4 linked regions of the Daphnia pulex genome follow. Each later gene encodes a partner of the first gene's protein in a complex. Links are inferred from orthologs where the notes say so. Each region holds a gene or a part of one and is shown in the gene's direction. Other genes may lie near its edges.

Region 1 (5,696 bases):
CGACCCATGAACGCCGTCCCGTCGCCCATGGCGCCTCCATCCACCACGCCCATTCATCCGGGCGATTTCGGCTCGGCCACTCAGAGCGGCATGGGACCGCCGAATCCGGGCGGATCGACGCCTCTTCAGGGTTCCTCCACATTCGGCGTCCATCACACGTCGACACCATCGTCCGGCATGACGTCATCGGACGGTAAGCCGACTTCCCCCAAAACGGAAGACGGTGCCGATGGAACGTCGGGTCACGGGGCTTCCGGTGCTACCGACGGATCGGCGGCCGATGACGAGGAGGTCGAACCTCCTTCCATCGTCATTTACATCGTGGATCCGTTCAGTTTCGGCTCGGACAATTTGGACCTCGGGCGGTTGACGGCGTTGGGTCTTTTGCGTTGCTATCACCAAATGTTGTCGCTCCTTTCGGAGACGGTCCAGCTCAACGTGTCGCTGCAATTGATTTCCGCCGACGCCATCCTCCAACTGGGCAAAGACGTGAACGGCGCCTCTCGCTACGATTCGCTCCGATCGCTGGCCCTCAACGTCTTTTCGCAGTGCAAGAAATTAATCTCACAGCCGTCGAACGTCAAATCGCTGACGGGATTCGGTCCGGCTGCCGCCTCTGACACGTTCCTCAAAGCCAAAGACGAGAGGAATCGTGCTCCTTACAGGGTCTACATCCCGGCCTACGTCCTGGCGCCGACCAAAGACAGGACGGTCTGCGACCTCGATCCAGGCGTGTCTACCAACGGAGGGCCCGGCAGTGGCCCACTGTCATTCTTGGCCCGGCCCGACAAGTATTCCGTCCTCTACGTCAGCTACTGCTTATCAGAAGATCAGCGCTGGCTGATTGCCGCCTGCACGGACGAGCGCGGCGAGCTGGTTGACAGCTGCACCATCGGCATCGACGTCCCAAACCGAACCAAGCGGAAACGAGTCTCAGTCAGGCGGTTCGGGCTCCAGCGGCTCATGGATTTCATTCTGGGCGTCATTTCCACCGGAGTTCATCCGTGGAGGCTCGTCATTGGCCGCGTAGGTCGAATGGGCCACGGCGAATTGAAAAGTAACAATCTAATTTTTAATTTCACCAATCGGATGGATTTTTAAAATGTCAATCTTTTATGTGTTTTCGCCACAATAGGTTGGAGCGCCCTGCTGAGTCGCAAAAATCTGTTGAGAGCCTCGCGACATTTGGCCGACATTTGCGGCCAGTGTTCGCTCGTGTTCCCTTCGCAGGCGCCCACTTTAGTGTCGGCCTGTCTGGTCTCGCTCGAGCCGGACTCTCACTTCCGCATGATGCCGGATCAAGTGACTCCTGACGAGCGTTTCGGTCAGCAGTCAGCCAACAGTCACCTGTCGACACCCGAGGACGCCTCTTGCACTCACATCCTCGTTTTTCCCACGTCAGCTACCACTCGAGTAAGTCGTCGTTTCTGCTCGCCTGAAGGAAAGGTGTTTCTTTTTTTATTCTAACTTGTTTATTCTTTTTTCTTACGCAGTCTCCTCAGACGACGTTCCACGAGGAAAACATCAACGGACCCGATTTGGGAGATGACGATCTGCTCTCTGCCCTCAACGACGACATGGGCGACGGATTCGAGGGGATGAGCGGCTTTGACGACATTTTCATGACGTGGCCGGAAACGGACCAAGTCAATGACGGCACCGACGATTTGACGTCGGACATAACGGGCGGCAACAACGGCGGGATGAACAACATGGGCGGTTGCGGAACTTCTCGGTCACCTGGAGCTTCGCACGGTGGCGGCGGTGGAGGTTCGCCCGGCCGTGGCGGCATGCGCTCCAACATGAATCCCGAGTCGCCGTCGGGCATGGGCGGACACCACCACGCGGGCGGTTCCGGGCGGCAGAGTCCGCGAGCGGAGCAGGAGGAAGTGGGCACGCTGCTCCAGCAGCCACTGGCCCTCGGCTATTACGTGTCGACGGCGCCAACGGGCGACATGCCGTCCTGGTTCTGGTCTTCGTGCCCTCATTTGGCGCGTGCCTGCCCGGCTTTCCTCAAGTGCGCACTTCACTTGCACAACCACGCCGTCCAGCAGAATTCGGACGACATCCTCCTGCAGCAGCAGCAACAGCAAGTCAACAACTCGTCAAAGGTGCATCCGCTCGACTCGCAAGTCACGACGGATGTCCTCAGGTACGAAACGAATCTTTCTTTTTATAAATTGGGATGAGGTCGTGGGTCACGTTGGTATTGATTATTGATTTCGATTGGAAACCCCAAAGGTACGTCATGGAAGGTTACAACGCCCTCTCTTGGCTGTCGCTCGATCCCAAGTCTCGTGATCGCCGCTCTTGCCTCCCCATTCACATCCAGCTCTTGGTGCAGCTCTACCACGCCTTGGCTGCTTTAGTCTGAAAACAACAACAAACACAACAACAAAATCATTTACAACCCCTCTGAAAAAAAAAAGAAAATTTGTTTTCCCCGTGTCGGAATTTCTTAATTTGACAGAAACAGAAGAAGAAATAATTACGATATTATTATTTAAAAGAAAAAGAAACTTAAAAAAGAATCGATGCCCTGTGCTGGTGTATGCACTTCGCAATATCCTACTCGCCTCACCCCCTCACACTCACACACAAACACAACACGCCACCATCCGTCATGACAAAAACAAAACTAAAAAAACTAAAAAAATAGTATAATATTACATAATGGCTCTACATAATGTTTTTTTCTTTTTTTTCTGTTGGTTCGTTCGATTGTTGGGTCTTTCTTGTTCCCTTCTCATATTCGTTGACGATTTTTCTAGTGCAAAAAGTAAAAACACCAACAAAAAAAGAAAGAAAAAAAAAAGATGAATAATTAATTACATAATAATCTTTACAAAAAAAATTTGCGATGGATTTGTTAGCGTCGGGGGTATATATTGTGTTCCTCCTCCTTTCACGGTGTTGTTGTACCATCCCCCCCCCTTTTTTTCTATCTTGAAAAACTTAAAAAAAAAAGCAAAAGACAAAGGAACAATATCTTATTATGTAATCAGCTTTGTGATGGTGATGTTTTTTGTACAGGACAGTTCAATTTCCAAAGCGTTCATATGGGCCACATACCGTTTGTAATTCTGCTCCGAAATTATTTTTTTTTTCGTCTCTTCCTGTAATTTCTTTCGGTTTAATTTTCTTTTTGGATGGATGGATTTCATTTATACGCATTTCTCCTCTTTACCTCTATCTCCCTCCTTTTTTTTTTAAATTTCTTAAAAAACTATTCTCGAAATATTTCCAGCGAAACAGCAGCAATACTGGCCGTTTTGTGAGCGAAAATTAATCAATTAGTTTGGGGGACAAACCAGCAACAAAAAAAAAAACCCAGGCAGTTTGTTGGGATTTATTGTGTTTGGTTGTTTTGTCTCTGCAGGGCCTCTAGAAGAAAGAAGAGAATGATGATAATAATAAAATCTTATATATTTCAAGTGAATGACGGAACACAGCCCTGCCTGACTTAGAGCAATTGATTGTGAGTAAGAAAAAAACGAAGGTGACATCTCGTCTGTTGTTGTTGTTTCCTAGCCCTCCCCTGTGCTGTACATTCTTCTTCTCTTTGTCCTGTCCGCTTAACTCCTCTAGTGTCAACACTCAAATCAACATCCTCTATTCATCAATTGTCATTACCTTAATTTTTCCTTTTGTGTGTCGAGAGAGAAATGTAGTAGGATGGGGTGGGCGACTTATTTTATGATTGTATCCTTTTTCCTTCCCTTTTTCAAAATCTTATCGAACGACAAGTGACCGGAGATTCTAAAAACTAGACCGTCATTCTTCATCTTCTCTTGGTGGTAACATGTTTTTCTTTTTTTTTTCTTGAATTTGGTCAGTTCCTCTCTCCTTCGATTGAATTTTGTTTTCCTTTTGATTTCCCCTTTTGTGGAGGTGTGTGTCAAATCGAAACTCTGATCGTCCATTTTTGTCGCCGTGTAACTGGGAAGGAAAGAATGAACCACACACTCCTCATCCGATATGCATTTTGTACAAAACAGAAACAGCAACTTAACAAACCACAACAACACACAAACAACAACCATTCAATAAAAACAAGACTTATAATAAAATCCTGTTGATTTCGTGTGTGTCCCCCTTCTCCCCCCTGATTCACATTAACTCCCATACCTCCTTGTAAGCTTGTTTCTCACCTCTCAAAATTGTCCGTGTCTCCACACACACACATAATTGAATTGTTTTTCTTTGAAATTTTGATGGCCTGACGGTTGTCGGGCAAAAAGTGAAAATTGAAAACTTTGGCCCGATGATCAATTGGCGATTGCGCTATTATACAAAAAATTGAATTTGTAATATGAATTAATATTATTGATTTATACTATTATGTCCAAAAGAAACTGAACTCTTTAAGTCCTCAATCTTTTCCCCCACGCCCATTTTTATTTTCATCCATTTATTATTCTCTCTCTTTTGATATTCCGTCAGCGAAAAGAAAAAAACACACACCTGCTTGCGCGAATACAAGTAACTTTTATACAGTAACCAACGCCAAAAACAGCCCCGTCCGTTTTCAAAATTTCGTGAGTATATTTGTGTCAATCCGAGTCATTAACAGGTTGATTGGAGAGTACAGCAGTTGAGTTAGCGGAAGAGTATTAAGAAAAAAAATCACTACTTTTACAGGAATTTCCAGACTACGAAGATTTTGGCGACCGCAAAACACTTTTTTTTACAGATTACCGCGGGCGTCTTGATCCAACTCGATGGCTTCGAAAAGAGCCTTGAAATTGCCCGCTCCGAAACCCTGAGAAAATAATTTGTTTTTTATTTTGTTGATGCTAGTAAAGAAAATATGCGCGTTACCTGGTGGTTGTTACGCTGGATGACCTCCAAGAACAAGGTAGGTCGATCTTGCATGGGTTTGGTGAATAATTGCAACAGGTAGCCATTGTCGTCGTAATCCACCAAAATGTTGAGCTCCTGTTCAGACAATTAATTACTTTGCAACACATTTCAGATCAATAGAAATTCGAACCTGAAGGACACTCAAGTCTTCCTTGATTTTCACGGGGGATTCGGCCAATTTCACGCGGAGTTGATCGTAGTAGGCGGCGGGGACGGTGAGGAACTGAGTGCCGCGCTTCCTCAAGTTGCGAATCTTAAAATAGAAACGTTTAATTTTCATAATTGACAAAAACACAAAGAAAATGTTAGTCGGTACAGCCGTGATGATGTCGGAAGTGTTGAGGGCAATGTGCTGCACTCCGGCGCCTCCGTAGTAGTCGGTGTATTCCTGAATTTGGCTCTTTCTCAGTCCGTTGGCCGGTTCGTTGATGGGCATCTTGAGTGGCCAGGAAAAATAATTAACGACCACCATCTCCTTTTTTAAAAAGATGTGCATGATTACCTTGATGGTTTCCTCGTAATTGGTGACGACGATGGAACGTAGGGCCGAGTATTGCGTGTGAATCTGAGAGTCGTCAACCGACCAGAATCGATGAAACATTAAATTTTGAGTGTACCATTCAGCTGCCGACTCCATTTGCAAATCCGGTTGATTTCCCACAACGTGATCGATGAAATTCAAATCGATCGTAGGTCTATAATAATACAAAATCATTTAGTAATATAAATATTAATCTCAAAAGGAAATTCATTTGAAAATGTTTACAGTGTCGAAAGTAGAGGATCTTCGCTGACTGGGATTTTGTTGTAGCCGGGCAGGAAGAAACCGGTGT
Region 2 (6,023 bases), about 8.0 Mb from region 1:
TTCAGCATATGTGCACATACGGAAAATTGGACTTCTACCTCTTCCTAGTCAGTCAACGATGAGAAGGATGTTAAGTTCTTCCGAGTGTCAGTTTGGATTTAATTCGCTTGCGCTCGAGCAGATATCCGATGCGTTCAAAGGATTACTGGCATGGCAGCGCTGGGGAGTTATAATGTGGGACGAAATATCAATAACCAAGGACATGAGATGGGACAGTAAAGGTCTGAAGTGGAAAGGCATAGTAGACTTTGCAGGTGAAGTTTCCATTATGGTCCCAAATGGTTTGGCAGACCATGTCCTAGTGTTTGTGTTCAGACCATTTTATAAAGGCTGGATTCAACCGTTTGCGTGGTTTGGAACAAAGGGTGGAGCATCTGGTACAGTTTTGCTAGAACTAGTTACGAAAAGCATTGCGCGTCTGTTTCAAGCTGGAGCTATAACGAAAGCAAGCGTATGTGATGGGTTTTCCACAAACAAAACGGTGTATTCCCATTTTGGTGTTTCTGGAACGGAAGATGGAGTTAATTCCATGTTACACCCTATGGATCCTTCAGTGAAAATTCATTGCCTCCACGATGTTCCTCATTTGTTGAAATGCACAAGAAACCATATGCTTGAACATAAATTAGTTCAGGTAACTTATTTTTCTTAATGTTGTTTTACTTAATTTGTAATTCTAAATATTATTTGTAGTTCCAGGGACACAACGTAAATTTTTATTCGTATGAACATCTACTGGAAGCCCAGAAAGGTTTGCAATTGATGTTATGCTGCCGATTAACTGAAGCGCACGTAAAACCAAACAATTTTCAAAAAATGAACGTCAGACTAGCTGCTCAAACATTTTCGGAACGAAATGCTCTTGCTTTTAAAATCTACCGTGAAATGCCAGCCTTTACTGCAAATGAAAAACGGCTGAAAAAGTTGTTTGAAGGTATTTTCCATAATTAATCAATCAATTTAAAATGCTATTGATTATTACATATTGTTAGGTACTGAACACATTGAGCGGCTTACAAAGACTGTGAATGACAATTTTGACGTACTCAACGGTAGACATATCAAAGAAGGAATCACTCCCAATAACTGGTGGATAAATGCACATGATGAAAAAGTGAAAGGCAGGAAACAAATACTTGAAGCCATGTTAGCAGTTCTAGCAGTAACTGAGAGGATTTATGAAAAGGACAAAAACCGAAAAATGTTTTGTTCCTTGACAACCGTACATGGATGGAGAATGACTATAAGAAGCGTTATTGCGTTAACTGAAGAAATGTTTAACGCAGGCTATACAGTAGTCCTCACTGGAAAAATGAATCAAGATCCAGTAGAGGTGAAACGAATTTTAATCGTGATTATCATTTCTATTGCAATTACTCAATAACTTTTTTTCTAATTCATACAGAGACTGTTCGGCATTGTACGTGGTGTTGATGCTCATCCCACGGTGACTTCTTTTCAACAAATCATTCGCTATGTGTCTCTTGGAGCAAGATTATCCACGATTATACAAGGAGCAAACGTTGACAATGTTGAGCAGATGAACATCCTAGTAACAATGTCAAAATGCCTTAAACGTCAAGCCAAGGAAAGTGACATTCGAGCTTCCGACCTGAGATCAGTATTAGAAGATAAACTACTGAAGGAAATAACAATTCGGTTTGTTGATAAAATTAACGAACCAGCGAATTCTAATTTCGTCAAAGATATTTTGATTTATGATTTGTGTGGTTATATGATTCACACAAGGAAGAGTATGTCAAAATGTCCTGACTGTTACAAATCCCTTCGCTGCGAGGAACTGGAGTTGCCAGAAGACTTCACTGCAGATCATTATACTCGAATGCGCAATAAGGGGTTTTTGATCTTTGTCACTGTAAATATGTTCCAAACATTCAGAGTGATAGAAAAGGTAATTGAGGGTCATTTTGAGCCAATTGGCCAAATGTATGAAGAGGAGTCATTTCAAGAGTGCATGGAGAAAATTTCAACTTGTCATTTGGTTCCCATTTTTTGTGACATTCATCGAGATGAAAAGTTACCTTACCTCATAAGAGAATATGTGGGAGTTAGATATTATTTTGAATCAAAAAGACTAAAAAATCTTTTGTTAGCTGAAGCTTCAGCAAATGTAAAAAAAAACAAAAAATTAGCAAAACTTGCGTAGGTACCTCTGTATTTATGAAACATTGTATGCAAGAAAATGATTCGTTTTAATAAATACCCATTTGTAACTACACTAGAATAAAATTCAAAGTAACTGAAAACTAAACATACCATGTCATTACATATTTTTTTTACACAAACAAACAATAAAATGTAAGAATGTGAGAACACTTAGAAAAATAGGACACTTATATATGACTTAGAGGTTTGACAGTTGGATACTTCTACCTTTTTATTATTGTTCACTTCTTGTAGAAAAGTAAGCTGTGATTGGTCAATGAGTTTTTCATAGACCCTTCCTGATTGGCTGGCTTCACGTAGTACCTGACACACTCACTAGAGGCGCTCATCAATTTTTCCAAATCGGACCACGGTTACCCTGAAACCGGGATAGGGAAGCCAACACGGCCGAGAACCGACCAGGTATCTATTGCTCTGCCTTTTATTTGAATTTTTAGTTTTTTCCGTCTGCTCTTCATTTCCTCCATCTGGCAAACGTCATTACAGTATAACAAACCAAAAATCGTCAACAAGAAAAAATATCAACATTACACAAATTGATTTGCATTCATGCAATAACTAGCATGGATTACGATTTTAAAGTTCGAACGAGCGTAGAACGTACCAAAGTAGAAGATCTGTTTGAATATGAAGGAAGGAAGATTGGTCGTGGTACTTACGGTCATGTGTATAAAGCGAAAAGAAAGGAAACATTCGCCACTTCGGATATTAATAAACTAATTAGGTTTGATATTCTCTAAGCACGAGAAATTGTGTAAGTTCAATATAATTATGTTTTATTTTATAGTGCTGACCAAAAGGAATATGCATTAAAGCAAATTGAAGGCACTGGTCTTTCCATGTCAGCTTGTCGTGAAATAGCCTTGCTCAGGGAGTTAAAGCATCCTAATGTGATCAATCTTCAACGAGTATTTCTTTCCCATACTGATCGCAAAGTTTGGCTTCTTTTTGATTATGCAGAACATGACTTATGGGTTTGTTAAAATCTTCCTTCTAAAGTTGTTTTGGTTCATGATCTTTTAACTTATTATATTTGTCACAAACCAAAATTTAGCACATCATTAAATTCCACAGAGCAGCCAAAGCAAATAAAAAGGCAGTTTACACTCCTAAAGCCATGGTAAAATCTTTGCTATATCAAATCTTGGATGGGATTCACTACTTGCATTCTAACTGGATCCTTCATCGTGATTTGGTATTGAGAATTATCTGCTTTTGTTAATATTTTCATCAACAAATAGATTTTTGCTTTCTTTTCCTTAGAAACCAGCCAACATCTTAGTCATGGGAGAAGGAATTGAAAGGGGAAGAGTTAAAATTGCCGACATGGGTTTTGCTCGTTTGTTTAATTCACCACTGAAACCTTTGGCTGATTTGGACCCTGTAGTTGTGACTTTCTGGTATCGAGCACCAGAACTGCTTTTAGGAGCTAGGCACTACACAAAAGCTATTGGTAAAACATTAGTAGTTTGTGTGGTGTTTCACAATTCTATATCATTGCTTTACAATTTATTTTAGATATTTGGGCTATTGGATGTATTTTTGCTGAACTACTAACATCAGAACCAATTTTTCATTGTCGTCAAGAAGACATTAAAACTTCCAATCCCTATCATCACGATCAACTCGATCGGTATGAAAATTTGCTCTTCGTGAGTGTCAGAAATGAATTATTTATTACATTTCCTTGTAGAATTTTCAACGTAATGGGATTTCCACATGACAAGGACTGGGAAGATATTAAAAAAATGCCTGAACATCCTACACTTCTCAAGGATTTTAAACGTAACAAGTAAGTGTTTATTTCCATTTGTTTGTTTACTTCTTAATATTAACTCCATGTTCAAAATGCATCTTTTGTTTATTTTTTTTTTATTTTTTTCTTTTAGCTATCAAACATGTTCCTTGATGAAGTATATGGACCGGTATAAAATTAAAGCCGATACTAAAGCTTTTCATTTGGTAATCGATATTTAAAATTAAAAGTTGCGTTTTTTTCTCTCCTTTTTTGACTGATTAATTTGCTTCAAGCTTTCCAAACTTTTAATGATGGATCCTACTAAAAGATTCACCTCAGAATCTGCCATGGCTGATCCTTACTTTCAGGAAGATCCTTTACCTACTTCAGAGTAAACTTAAAATAAGAATCATAATGTAATATAAGAATCAGTTTTGATCAGATTTGTGTTTCATTAGCGTATTTGCTGGTTGTCCTATTCCGTACCCGAAGCGAGAATTTTTGAGTGACGAAGAGCAAGATGACAAATCTGATAGCAGCAAGGTAATAATAAATTGTTCTTTTGATTTTATTTTATCTAGTCTTTTTCGTCTCCCTTGTTTTGGTTTTCTTTCATTTGCGTTTTATTTGGCATTTGGGTACACTTTTGAATTCAGATGATTGCTAAGAATCCACAGGGTCAGAATACTGCAGCGAATGCCCCCAATGACCAGTCTCATGGTCCTAATGCAAAACGAGTACGGTTGGCTCCCCCACATCCTGGAAACAATGTTGGTGGATCCAACATGTCAGGAGGCCCACCAGATTTCCATGGTCAACATGTTGGACAGCAACCCCATGTACAGCAGCATCCTTCTGCACAGCAACAACAACAACAGCAGCAGCAGCAACAACAACAGCAACAACAGCAGCAGCAACAACAACAACAGCAGCAGCAGCAGCAACAACAGCAACAGCAACATGCTTCACAATCGGGTAATTCTAATCATGGCCATGGCCATCACCCTCAGCATCCGTCACAACAAGGCAACATGCAAGGAGGTATGCATCCGAACTATTCCAATCATCCTGGCCATCCTCAACAACAGTCGCATCCTCAGCAAAACAACTCATTTAATCAAAGATTCTGATGCTCTTTTCATCTATTACTAGCAACTTATTGTATTTTGTCTTCATTTTGAATTCGTAAAATAAAATAAAATGCGTACATTTTCATACTAAAACGTTTAATAATGCATTACCGCTGGAAATGAAAAAGGTACATAGAATAAAAGATACACGATGGATCGTGTTTTGATTCCAGGAATCAAAGGAAAATTGCTGTAAACTATGATCATGTTTGACGAAGGGAGTAACTGCCAAATAGCGAAAACAAGTGGAGGCTGTGTATGGGTACTTGGGTAGAGCAAAAAAAAGCGAGAAAAAGAAACAATATTGAGTCCTTGATTCATGTTCAGCAAAAAAAATTAAAAAAATTAAAAGAAGGGTAAAATGGTAAGTGGCTACGAAACGAAAATACAATCACAAATAAAAAATAAGATGACTAGCCCGTCACATTTTCTATGCCAATTGACATCATTTGGCATCAACAAAGATGCACCAAGAGATTTGGTGAACTATTATTCTGCCACACTTTCAGGTCCACTTTCCATGACTGGTCATAAATACAGATATGACAGAAAATGTTACTTGGATGCTTTCTTTTTTGTTATTGTTGGGGACAGGGGATGGCAGAAACGACAAAGAAATTTTTAGCGCAAGAGAAAAGATAGTACGTCAATCCGCAATAGACAAGGTTCCGACTTTTTAAATGATAGTTTTAAAGAGTAAATTCATCGTCAACGTCATCAAATTGAATGTTATCGTCGAAGGGTTGAACCCACGCAAAAGGGTCTTCGACGATCGTATTAAAAACATGAACAGATGGTTGTTTAACCATTTGAGAATTAGAAGGTGCAGGGGAAGAAGCTTTAGCTGGAGGCAGATCCGGTTGGAAGAAGTCGTCATCAAAGGGATCGTCTACTCGTGAAAAGATGTTTACTGATGTCGATTTCTTGACCAACTGATCTCCTTTGGTCTTTAGCTGATGATCCGGATC
Region 3 (5,273 bases), on another chromosome or scaffold:
AACTCCCTTGTATAAAGATTAACACGAGTGCTGTGTCCGTAAAGTTATATGGGCTGTACATATATGAAAACTAATCGCGCAGTCAAGTGCGCACAGTGACTCTCGTTTTTGTTCTTTTTCTTGGAATTCGATTGGACGACGACGCTGTTACACGCCCAGGTGTTGATCTTTGGAGTCAACATCGTGAGCACTCTTCCCTATCTGATAGTCGTTGGCATCCGATACCGACACAACGAACAAATCGACCAGACGGCACTCAGCCGAGCCAAAAAGGTAAACTATGACCATTTGAATTAGCCAGAAAAACCGCTCAAATAAATATGGGACGATAATGCACGCCAATTTTCTAGTGAAACTCTCTCAGATATTTTTAGATAGACGGTTGGAACTTTTCCCTTTTTCGCTTTCGTTGTTGTTGAATGCAAACAACAGATTACATAGTTCACTGGCCCGCTTCATAATACGTCCATCACTTATTCAGTCGCTCCCATTTTCCCTTTTTTTTATCTGTGACAGTTTCGGGAAATTTAAGGCGAAAAGATAATAACTTGCAGCTCCTTCAGTTTTTATCGTCCCGGTTCGTTCGTTCGTTTTTTAAAAGAAACGATCAATTCTATTTTTTTGTTTGAGGGTCGAAAATTTTGAAAAAATGTTTGACATTTCCGCATAAAACGGGAAACGCGGTTGAGTTTCATCAACCACTTTTAAATTTTAATAGCAGTCAAGGAATTTAAAAAATATATTTTTTATTTGATTTGTTTTGGGGTTTTTTCTCAAATTACGACATTTCGTTCAAATTCGCTCTCAGTTTTGAATTTGTTACGTTTAGATGGGTGCGTGGCAAAATTTAAAATCCCCTGTAAACAACATGTATAACAATAGGGAAAAAACCGTGATAATTTTACAACCGGCTCAACCCGGATCTAAACATGCTAAACAGTTTAATTTTCTTTATCCGAGCTGTTGTTGTGTAACCGACACGCAACTCTTTTCCTCAATGTTGCCGTTTGTTTTCGGCAGGTTGTCATGATTTTGTATTTCGGGAAATCAGCCCTGAATCCATTTATTTACGGATGGAAGAACCGCGATTTCCGACTGGCTTTCGCCCGTTTGCTCCGCTACGTCCCCTGCTCCAAGTGGGCGATGGAGCGCTCGCTCAGCTCGGTGGAAATGGCCACCGGAATCGGATCGAGAGCTGGATCCATCCAGCCGCACGATCGACAGCGACTCAGTAAAATCTATCAGCTGGAGCTGCCACCTATCGAGTGGCAAATCAACTCCACCGACCTCTCCAACGACGACTACCTACAACGAACGATCCCGCCGGATCAGCAACAAGTCACGGACTTGTAAAAATTCACGACGGCACGTTTTGAAATAGTTTTTGTTTTTTCACGTTACGCCGGACGCATGCCAAGAATCGTTCAAGTCAATTCTCACGGGGGCTACACTCTTTATTCATGCAGGATGCCTCTGCTTCTTGGCCTGTCCATCGTTGCTGTTGACTGATGCGGGAGATATGTCACATGATTTTTTCCCCCCATCGGTTGTGTTGATGATATTAAAATATTTTCATGTCTTGTGTATAGGCTCCATTGAATGTTGATTGTATTTTTCGTTCGTGCCGATGCCACGGGATTCAAACTCTCTCTGACTGTCCATATCGTCATATAGCCCACACATATTTTGTATCATCTCTGTTTTCTTACTCAATGGTCCATTCCGCATTTTGTATTTTCTTATTTTTTTGCAACGCATTTCTTTTCGGCCTGATGTACTCATGATTCTCGTTGTTGTAAAACGGACAAGTGGTCAAATTCCTTCGTGTTTAGTAGCCAAATTTACATACTCAATTATTCATGGATCGTTTGTAACTTTGTAAAATGTAACAAACATTGTGTTATGAACGTTTCGTTAGGCGACAATAATATGTAAACAAATACGCTGTGTAATGAGTCTCAAAAATATTAAATCATGTTTATTTACGTCGAACCAAAGTAACTCATTGCGTCATCATCCTAATCACTCAAAAACAGTCATACAGTAAGTCATAAGTTTACAATTAATTAATTAAAACCAAATGGAATGCAATGTTTTGTTTTGTTGAACGCTAATAAAACTTTAAAAAAAACAGAACAAAATCACGAATACGATCGTTCACAAATCACTAAATCAGTAAATCACGATGTTTTCTTTTCTTTCGTTTATTGGCGTGCTCGGGTGCGAAAAGGCTTCCATGTTAGAAAATCCGGGCACGGCGACATTTTAATAAGCGCCGCCTTACGTCGTCTAACCTAACAGTGTCGAGCATCGTTTACACACAGTAAACAAGTTAAACCTCGGCCGCAGAGTATGGCTGGGAATTTCTGGCAAAGCTCGCATTGGTTAGTTTTTATTTGTCTAACGTTTTGATTCACATTTAATTACTCACTTTATTATTAGTCAGCAGTGGCTACTAGACCCTTCTGATTTGGTTCGAGAACGCCAAGGGGATTTCGCCATCGTCACGGAGGAAGACTATCAAAAACTCTTCATCTTCTTTAGTAACTGTAAGTTTATATTAACTATGGAATCATCTCCTAAATGTTGAATAATAAAAGTGTCTTTCTCATGTTAGTCATCCAGGTTCTTGGTGAGCATTTGAAACTCAAACAACAAGTCATAGCGACTGCCACAGTTTACTTCAAGCGGTTTTATGCCAGGAATTCCTTGAAATGCATTGATCCACTGCTACTTGCCCCCACATGCATTCTGTTGGCTTCAAAAGTCGAAGAGTTTGGTGTAATTTCGAACAACAGATTAATCACAACATGTCAATCAGTTGGTATGTGATCTTTTCATAAGACAAAATTTGTTATTGTGATTCAATCAACTTCTTAAACAGTCAAGTCAAAGTTCAACTATGCCTATCCTCAAGAGTTTCCCTACAGAGCACAACACATCCTTGAGTGTGAATTTTATTTATTGGAAAACATGGATTGCTGTCTAGTTGTTTACCAACCTTACAGGTGATCAACTGTTTCTGAGAAAATTTAAAGCATAATGTAATAATGTTTTCATTTGAAATTTCCACACAGACCACTTGTCCAATTTGTTCAAGACATTGGGCAAGAAGATCTTCTTGGATTGTCATGGAAAATAGTCAATGATAGCCTAAGAACTGATATATCTCTTCTGTACCCCCCTTACCAAATTGCATTGGGTTAGCTTGAATTATTTTTGTCTTTTATCATGTGAACTCTACTTCATTTATTTCTTTCTTTTCTTCTGTATTAGCTGCCATGCAAATGGCTTGTGTTGTGCTTCAGAAAGACGGGAAAAATTGGTTTGCGGAAATTGCCGTCGATACGGATAAAATTCAAGAAATAACGCGTCAAATTCTGGCTCTGTACGATCTCTACAAGACCTACGACGAGAAAAAAGAAATTCAGGGTTTGTTGGCCAAAATGCCTAAACCCAAAACGCAGCCAAGTCGGTAGGATATTCAATTTCCTATTTAGATCCCAATTCTTTCTTATTTGATCACATTGCAAAGAATAAAATTTTAAAATTGTTTAATACACTGTGATAACTATGTAGGCCTCCCTCGTCAGCACAATCACAGGATGGAATACAGGGCACAAATGACCAGTCCATGGGTGTGACAAATTGATTATCATTATCATTCTCATTTTATAAACTGAAAAACACAAAAAAAACTGTGTTATGATCAACTATTTAATACATGCTTTCTTTTACAATGAAAATGAGAACGCAATTTCTCTATTCTAGTAGTTTAGAAACAACATCAAGGCGGGGAGTACGTATGTAAGCGGCTTCGTTGAAAACGTTTCCGCGCTGTTACTTTGTTGGATTTTCCATCGTGCAATATTTTCGTTAGGATTGCCTTGATCACCGTCAAACCAAATACGCATGCAGGGCTCTGAATTATTGGTATACTTCCATGAATGATCCCAAACCTTTTAGAAAATAAAAATGTAATCAAAATTCTAGGGAGAATGTTAATACTGTTTACCCTTTCACAAAAATTAGATGAGTTTTGAAAGATATCGGAAAAGGTGCGACATTCGGATTCAGGTCGGCAGTGATTGGTCCCATTAATCCATTTGAAGTTTAATGTCCAATTGTCTGTACATGTGTAATCATCCTTGCAAGCATTGAACCAATCATCACAATCAGTGGCGCAAAGAGGCACGTCCAAGAATCTTTCTCTGCGCATTTTCATGTTTACCTAGATAAAAAAGAAAATATACAATTATTTTCTACAAGTTTAAAACATTCAAAACAAATGCTGCTGGTTATATAAAACTAGCATCTAGGCCTCTAGGTGGATCTGTGTTTCTAAAATTACAAAGCTTACAGACAACAATGTCTTATTTATTATGTAACAGCTGAGAAAATTAATTCTGCCTATTGTTTTCAGAGTGAATCTTTAGGAAAAATGAACTGACTATATTCCTATAGCTTGCATAAGCATGTTAAAGAGAGAACACATTTTTTCCATGAGTTTCATGGAACCCACCGTTTGCATCCATGGTCCAACATTAGGTGAGCATTCATAAAAGCATAAATCCTGAACAAAATGTTCTAGACATTTGCTCGACATTTTTCTGTTGGGACAGTGGTTGTAGTTGAAGCCATACATTTTCCCTCCATGAGCATGAACTGTCGTGTTTCCTGTGCAACAAGAATTGTTTTTCCATGGTAGGCACTGAAAAGAACCGAAAAAGTGGCGATCGATAAAATATTATTCAAGATATGTAAGACAAATATTACCTGTTTGTGCAAAGAATCTTCTGGGCCAGGTTCTCGTTTGTGATTGTTACCATCGATGCAAGAATTCACTAACTGTCTCTTATCCTTCACACTGATTTGACCAGAGATCGAATGAAATAGTCCAAGAAATAGAAGAACGAAAATGACATAATGTCTCGTTTCACATGCATTTTGGTGGTGGGAAAGCATGGCCTCAATGTAAGTTTAAAAAGCCAAAACGTCTTCTGCTAGCCGCGTGAATAAAGGTCCTATTCTCAGTCGTGTCCTTCTCGTAAATGAACGATTTTTGGACGAGGCCACGAAACTTAAGGCAATGCTTAGAGGAAGAGTTTGGGGAACTCAGCTGAAATCAATGCGCACTGGCTCGGATGTACGCATGTTAATTGAGATAATAATTAAATCGCCCATATTAAAATAACCGTATCAGCAACGCCTCAGTTTTCTATATAGCACATCACATTTCGCCTTGTAGGATGTGGTTTCGTATTTTTCGTACT
Region 4 (5,908 bases), on another chromosome or scaffold:
GTATTACTGTAATACCCTCATCAATTTCAAATGGAAGACCTACAGCACATCATACATTTTGTATGTAAAAAAAATTAATGTTTGTTTGAAGCTAAAGTAATAAAGTACACAATTAAAGGAAACCACAGAATTTACCTTTATCAAAAGGATGTAAAAAATATTTGTCTTTAACAGAAATGCAATAGCCAACTATATGTTTAGCTTTCAGAAACAAATTGTTGTTGCCAGTGTGATCCGAATGACCATGAGTAGATATGACATAGTTGATGTCATCAGGGGTTAACCCATTCGCCTCTAAAGATAGTAAAATGAGATTGGTATCCCAAGGTGTCATTGTATCAACAATTACTGAAAAAATAATTTATTAACTGTTATCACGTTATTGCGAACATATTTGGATTGTGCTGTTTGTTACTATTTTTACTGCCGGTAACCAATACGCATGAGCAATTTGCACGGACGAAAGGAAGATTTTCGTCTTTTTCCTCAATTGTGGTAGAAGAATATCCAGTATGTATTACTGTAACACGGTTGGAGTTCGCCATCCTTTTAGAAATTAGAGTAGCCCTTCTAGTGTCAAAATGTCAAAAATCAAAATCAAATGTTTTGTTTTTTTAGACTGCTTTTTTCGCCATCTATGGGTGACACGCTGAACTTTGCCATTTTGCTTATTGCAGCAGCTGTGGTTTGAAAATAACGTACGCTAAATTGAGGGAGAAAAAAATACGGACACACCCGTTTAGGCTAACAAATGGTCACATAAAACCGCAATTAATTAATTACAACAGTACATTAACTGCAGTCTATTGAACCACCAAACTATCTTAGTTGATGTGAATCGTAAAGGAACAATGGGTTCAATCAATGTATTTGAAATTGAACTTTCCTTAGTGGAACACTTATAAATATGAGCAAGTAATGTTGAAGACAGAAATGAATTTGAATAAACACTCAAAACAAGTCACCATTTCCTTTTTCCTTCAGAATTTCTTGATATTCCTTGTATGTTATTTTCTTAGGAACCATATCTGAAAACACAATAATAATAATAAATTAAAATTTTACTAATACCATTTAGTAACACAGTACCTTTGAGAAACTGCATAGAATCACTTTTTTGAACAATGTCAGCTAGACCTTTGTAAGTAAGCTCATTTGACTTTTTGGTACTTTCATAAATCTCTTGGGCTAAATGTTCTACAAAAAACTCCTTAAAACATTGAAACATTTTAGATGAAGATGAGAAAAATAAGATGAAAAAATTATCTGGAAACAAACTAAAAATACCGTTGCTTTTGTTACAAAGTATAATGCGTCAGTGGATATGCTCTCAGTATCTGGGGAACTCTTCATAATCATTTTTACTCGTGCTTGTGGTAATATTATGGAGCCGTCTCCTAATTTCGGTTTAAAGGAAGACATTCTTAATTTAATTTCACTTGATTTAGTCCTTCACTTCAATCAATTCAGCAATTCCGCGCCACTACAATTTCTAACAAAATGCCAAAATAGAAATGTTCAAAATATAGTCTGCTGACTTTTACAGCACTGCCAAGATGTGATCAATGAAAATTGAAAATGCAAGGAGCATATTTTGTCATTAATTTGTTCATAATAAATTGATACCAATTGTATTAATAACTATTTCTAAATTCAGTTGCTAGACTACGATTAGTCCAAAATTCAAATACATTCATCTCCAATTATTCTTTATGTGTGCCGTAACAGCAAATTATAGAAATGCAACGTTGTAGCAAAGCCATCACACTGATATATCTGTCTGAACCATGGTCTGAAAATCGGAACTCTTGATAAGAATTTAGAAGTATTTGATTACTTGTGTACTTGTGTTGTGTAAACATTGATGTGTGGTAACAAATTTATACTTCTGCGTGGAAATTGATTTTAGAGCTAGTTATGGCTTGTTTATCAATGGAAAATCGTCCTCTTAAAAAATTGAGATTAGGACCGCCCGATGTTTACCCACAGGATCCCAAACAAAAAGAGGTAATATTTTGAATGTAGCTGCAGCTTTTTTATGAGCCCAAGTACGAAAATGCTAGTTGCCAAAAGGCAGTTTCATTTAAAAAAAAGGATAATTCTTTATGTTTTCCTTTCATTAACATTTGGAATACTATTTTTAGGATGAACTGACTCCTGTCAATGTGAAACAAGGATTTTCTCATACACCCAATCTTAATCAGTCTGAAGAGTATGGATCTGCTAAAAATCACAACTTTTCTTTATCAAAGGTAAACTACAATTTACTGTAATTAGTATGATGTTCATAGATTGTTCTAGGCTGACAACCATTTTATTATTCTTTCCTAATGTTAGGTCCAAACTTTTATTAATGGAGTGCTTACAAAAAAACAAGAAATCAACACATTGCCTGATACTGGCCGAAAACGCCAACTCATCAATCCCAAAGAAAATTTCCATAATGTTACTCCAAAGTCCAAGGCATTCATTGAGTCTTGGTTCAAAGACTTAGCAGGCAGCAAACCTTTGATGAATCTAGGAAAAAGAGTAATATTATACTCAGAATATCTTAAACAAATAAAAATACCAACTTTTGATTCCTTTTACAAGGTGCCAATATTCAACAAGAAGGAAGAAATATTTATCCAACTAAGTGAATATCAGGTTCCTATGTCTAGAGCAATATGGTTAATCAAGATGACATCTGCGTATTCAGTGGCTATTTCTGAAGCCAAAATGAAAAAGCGTCAAGTTCCAGATTCCTCTCAAGGTAGTTTCCAAGATTTAAATAATTTATTTTATCTGCAATTATAATCATTTTTTTGTTATATAGAGTGGACTAGTACATTGGTCCGGTTCATAAAGGAACAAATTGTGAAACTACAAGATTTCTATCAAAAATCCACAAATAGTGGAGGAACTTCTGCTGCATATGCTTCAAATGCTACTGCATATCATAATGGTAGCCCTTTGATGAGTGATGAACAGAAGCTTGCTCTTCGCCAATTTAATTATTGCCAGCAATTATGCAAAGTGATGTTTGAGGTATTGTGGAGATAAAATTTTATTTTTTCGTTTTTGCAATTTCATTTGTCTTTCAGGAGGGACTTCTTGAATGCCAAGATTTCTTACAATGGCAGTTGGACATGCTTGAAAAATGTAAAACTTGTGATGATGGTCTTCTCAAGTTTATTATTCCATTAATCTTGCAGTATGTAGATGAATTTACACAGTGTGAAATTCTGAGTCGAAAGCTTGTTTTTCAGGTAAGGTTGGATGACCAAGTTATATACAAATCTTGAAATAAATGTATTGTAATTGGTTTCGTTAAATCAGGTGTGTAGAAGAATTTCACCGCTTCTATCGAACGATCAAATCAGCGAAGGATCAGTTTCGTTAGATGTGGGAAATTGTGGGCAGCATAGGAGTGTTCTTCTTCAAATGTCTGCCATCATTCAAGCAGTCGTTCTTCATTGTCCGACGGCGTTAGTGTGGAACCATTCTGGAGAAGGAAAAATATCATCTCATTTGGTTGGATCCCCTTTAGATCATTTGCCTATTCCTCCGTCAGCATTACCTATGGCTCCTCGTTTTTCAAACGATCACGTAAGGACTTGTGACCTAAATTCTAGGATTACATTTTTCTTGTCACTATAACATGACAAACTTTAATCGTACTATATTCTTTTATTCTAGGTCCGTCAGATGCTTCGAGAAGCTGAGAATGCCATCAAACAGCGTAGTAAGGCTGCCGAATCACGATGGCCTTTAGATAAACTGATTCATCACTCCGAAATCAATTGTAGTGTTAAAGTAAGTCCAATTCTAGATATTGAAATAATTTTCATTTAAAATTTTAATGAGATGATTTCATCCAATAGCAGAAACAACAAAATCAGCCACAGACTGGGATTATAACAGCACGAGTGCTTCAGGCTCTCGAAGCATTGGATCTTCATAGTTTCGACCGTGTAGACTTGACCAACAGGTGAGACCACTTAATAGTCGTACCCTTACATCCTGTTTGTGACCTTTCAATCAATATTCATTTCAGTATCGATTCACTGTACGTCAAAATATTTCCGGCAATTGGGGGAAACAAAGGAAATGTTGATCCTGCAACTGTAGAGCAAATTGGCCAATTCGCCAAACAGGATGAACCGTTTGTTCGCCTGTTGTGTCAATGGGCAGTTAGTGATCAACGATATGGAGAACACCGCGCGATTGCAGCTGCTCTGCTTCTAGAAAAGAGACAAATGGATTTGGTGGCTTTAACAGAAAGTGATGCTGTTGGAGGCGAAGACAATGATACCGACGAAAATTTGGCTGCCGTTTCCGCCGTCCAACCCGTTTATCAGGTTTGCTTGATTGTTATTTTGGTTTTTCTTAATGTTTCTAAAATTAATGTTGATTTCTTAGGGATTTTTAATGAAATTTCTTGACTCCGAAGCACCAGTGCTCAATGAATCAAGTTCCGGGCACAACAATCGAACAGTTTTTGCGTCTTTGGTTCATTTATACTATGAACTCATCAAGCATGACGTGTTCTCTCATGACATGTACATGTGTACTTTGATTTCGCGAGGTGATCTTCTCTCAGTTACACCTGGCCATAGTGGAGCTACGGTTGCTCCGTCAAATTCGGGTCATTTTGCTGGCACTCCAAGCAGCGGAATGAGTAGTTTAACGGGATTCCAATGTATGAATGATTTACGCTGTGAAATGGATGACAGTAAAATAGACGACGATCTTGGGAAGTTGTTGCAACATATCAAAGAAGAACAACAAATTGTCATGGTTGGTATTTTTTCTTGTATTTATATTAGTGTAATCAAATTCCACTTTCGGCATTATTTACTAGCTATGATATTTAAAGAAGTATTTTTCAGAGGTTTTATTTGATGTTTGTTTTTATTACTTTCACTCAGGACACGCCTGATTCTCCCAAAGATGAAAGTCATAACACACTTGAAACTGGTCGAGGAGAGAAAGAGGGTAAACGTCAATCAAGACACCTCCTGTTTACCACTCATTTTCCTTTGCCTCAGGTAATATACATAATATTGATCTAAGAACTTGCACGAATATTCGAACTATATTTAAATTATTGATTACTTATTGGTTATTTGTGTATCCTAAAGTCGTCTTATCTTTTCTACTTAGGATGATAGTTTAATCCACGACTGCAATCAACGACACATTCTGCTGTACGGAGTTGGAAAAGCACGCGAAGAATCTCGCCATGCTGTTAAAAAAGTCTCAAAGGAAATGTGTCGCCTTTTTCACAAGAAGCTAGCGATTGATGTCCAAACGGAAGGGACTAATCTAGCTGGAGGAGTCGGAGCCTTTGTAGGTTCTTCGAAATCCCGAAAACACTCGTCGCGCCTCGAGTTCAATTTTGAATTGAGCATGCAACGCTTTCTATCGTTATCTTACTTTGATCGTCATGCCGTAGCTGCCCAAGCAGCCTCAACTTGTATGGAAATGATCAATAGCTTCACCGTTGGAGGAGCAGCGTATTTGCCTATTTTGGAACACATTTCTTTTCTCTTCGATCTCTTCGAAGTTTCGCTAAGTATAAGTGGACTCATAGATCTATGTCTACAGCTCCTTAAAGGTAAAAGCTAAGAGTCTTCCAAGATATAAGGATAAAGCTAACGGTTCTATTTGTTTATCCATTAGAACTTCCTGAAGTTGAGCTCCTGCTGTCTCAAAGGAACTCGGTTCTTAGTCGTAACTACCTAACCAACGTAGGACTGTATATCGTTGGCGTACTTCGCCGTTTTCACTGCTGTCTACTACTCTCACCCGAGTCGACTGCTGCTGCGTTTGAATCGCTATGCCGGATTGTCAAGCACGTTACGAATCCTGCCGATTGCAGTTCGGCGGAACGCTGCATTTTAGCGTATTTGTACGACTTGTACAG

Evidence for each region.
Region 2: mediator of RNA polymerase II transcription subunit 13-like (region 1) and cyclin-dependent kinase 8-like share a complex: the UniProt entries of both Drosophila melanogaster proteins name them as parts of the cdk8 module of the Mediator complex. The link is inferred for Daphnia pulex from reciprocal best matches to the Drosophila melanogaster genes skd and Cdk8.
Region 3: mediator of RNA polymerase II transcription subunit 13-like (region 1) and cyclin-C-like share a complex: the UniProt entries of both Drosophila melanogaster proteins name them as parts of the cdk8 module of the Mediator complex. The link is inferred for Daphnia pulex from reciprocal best matches to the Drosophila melanogaster genes skd and CycC.
Region 4: mediator of RNA polymerase II transcription subunit 13-like (region 1) and mediator of RNA polymerase II transcription subunit 12-like share a complex: the UniProt entries of both Drosophila melanogaster proteins name them as parts of the cdk8 module of the Mediator complex. The link is inferred for Daphnia pulex from reciprocal best matches to the Drosophila melanogaster genes skd and kto.

What each region holds. Positions count from the first base shown.
Region 1 is NC_060023.1:11,957,052-11,962,747, forward strand, and holds the end of mediator of RNA polymerase II transcription subunit 13-like, read left to right. Parts: coding exon 1-1,057; intron 1,058-1,135; coding exon 1,136-1,413; intron 1,414-1,493; coding exon 1,494-2,152; intron 2,153-2,241; coding exon 2,242-2,374; 3' UTR 2,375-4,500; downstream 4,501-5,696. Other genes in the region: 4-hydroxyphenylpyruvate dioxygenase-like, read right to left, coding at 4,688-4,762, 4,822-4,938, 4,994-5,116, 5,180-5,299, 5,366-5,558, 5,630-5,696. UniProt on the Drosophila melanogaster protein: Component of the Mediator complex, a coactivator involved in the regulated transcription of nearly all RNA polymerase II-dependent genes.
Region 2 is NC_060023.1:3,949,336-3,955,358, reverse strand, and holds cyclin-dependent kinase 8-like, read left to right. Parts: upstream 1-2,538; 5' UTR 2,539-2,750; coding exon 2,751-2,911; intron 2,912-2,974; coding exon 2,975-3,161; intron 3,162-3,241; coding exon 3,242-3,382; intron 3,383-3,450; coding exon 3,451-3,640; intron 3,641-3,705; coding exon 3,706-3,820; intron 3,821-3,880; coding exon 3,881-3,979; intron 3,980-4,076; coding exon 4,077-4,149; intron 4,150-4,218; coding exon 4,219-4,316; intron 4,317-4,383; coding exon 4,384-4,468; intron 4,469-4,581; coding exon 4,582-5,055; 3' UTR 5,056-5,148; downstream 5,149-6,023. Other genes in the region: uncharacterized protein LOC124198281, read left to right, coding at 1-634, 694-934, 993-1,333, 1,406-2,167; protein disabled-like, read right to left, coding at 5,745-6,023. UniProt on the Drosophila melanogaster protein: Component of the Mediator complex, a coactivator involved in regulated gene transcription of nearly all RNA polymerase II-dependent genes.
Region 3 is NC_060017.1:5,571,576-5,576,848, reverse strand, and holds cyclin-C-like, read left to right. Parts: upstream 1-2,224; 5' UTR 2,225-2,352; coding exon 2,353-2,384; intron 2,385-2,442; coding exon 2,443-2,549; intron 2,550-2,617; coding exon 2,618-2,824; intron 2,825-2,884; coding exon 2,885-3,008; intron 3,009-3,077; coding exon 3,078-3,202; intron 3,203-3,276; coding exon 3,277-3,475; intron 3,476-3,579; coding exon 3,580-3,652; 3' UTR 3,653-3,746; downstream 3,747-5,273. Other genes in the region: adenosine receptor A2b-like, read left to right, coding at 160-273, 1,021-1,353; folate receptor alpha-like, read right to left, coding at 3,768-3,959, 4,016-4,231, 4,523-4,711, 4,777-4,965. UniProt on the Drosophila melanogaster protein: Component of the Mediator complex, a coactivator involved in regulated gene transcription of nearly all RNA polymerase II-dependent genes.
Region 4 is NC_060025.1:6,925,214-6,931,121, reverse strand, and holds the start of mediator of RNA polymerase II transcription subunit 12-like, read left to right. Parts: upstream 1-1,755; 5' UTR 1,756-1,917; coding exon 1,918-2,007; intron 2,008-2,144; coding exon 2,145-2,252; intron 2,253-2,337; coding exon 2,338-2,529; intron 2,530-2,592; coding exon 2,593-2,752; intron 2,753-2,815; coding exon 2,816-3,027; intron 3,028-3,083; coding exon 3,084-3,248; intron 3,249-3,318; coding exon 3,319-3,588; intron 3,589-3,678; coding exon 3,679-3,795; intron 3,796-3,863; coding exon 3,864-3,970; intron 3,971-4,036; coding exon 4,037-4,340; intron 4,341-4,401; coding exon 4,402-4,779; intron 4,780-4,910; coding exon 4,911-5,030; intron 5,031-5,145; coding exon 5,146-5,599; intron 5,600-5,664; coding exon 5,665-5,908. Other genes in the region: metallo-beta-lactamase domain-containing protein 1-like, read right to left, coding at 1-39, 136-348, 416-545; chromatin accessibility complex protein 1-like, read right to left, coding at 952-1,028, 1,090-1,210, 1,288-1,422. UniProt on the Drosophila melanogaster protein: Component of the Mediator complex, a coactivator involved in regulated gene transcription of nearly all RNA polymerase II-dependent genes.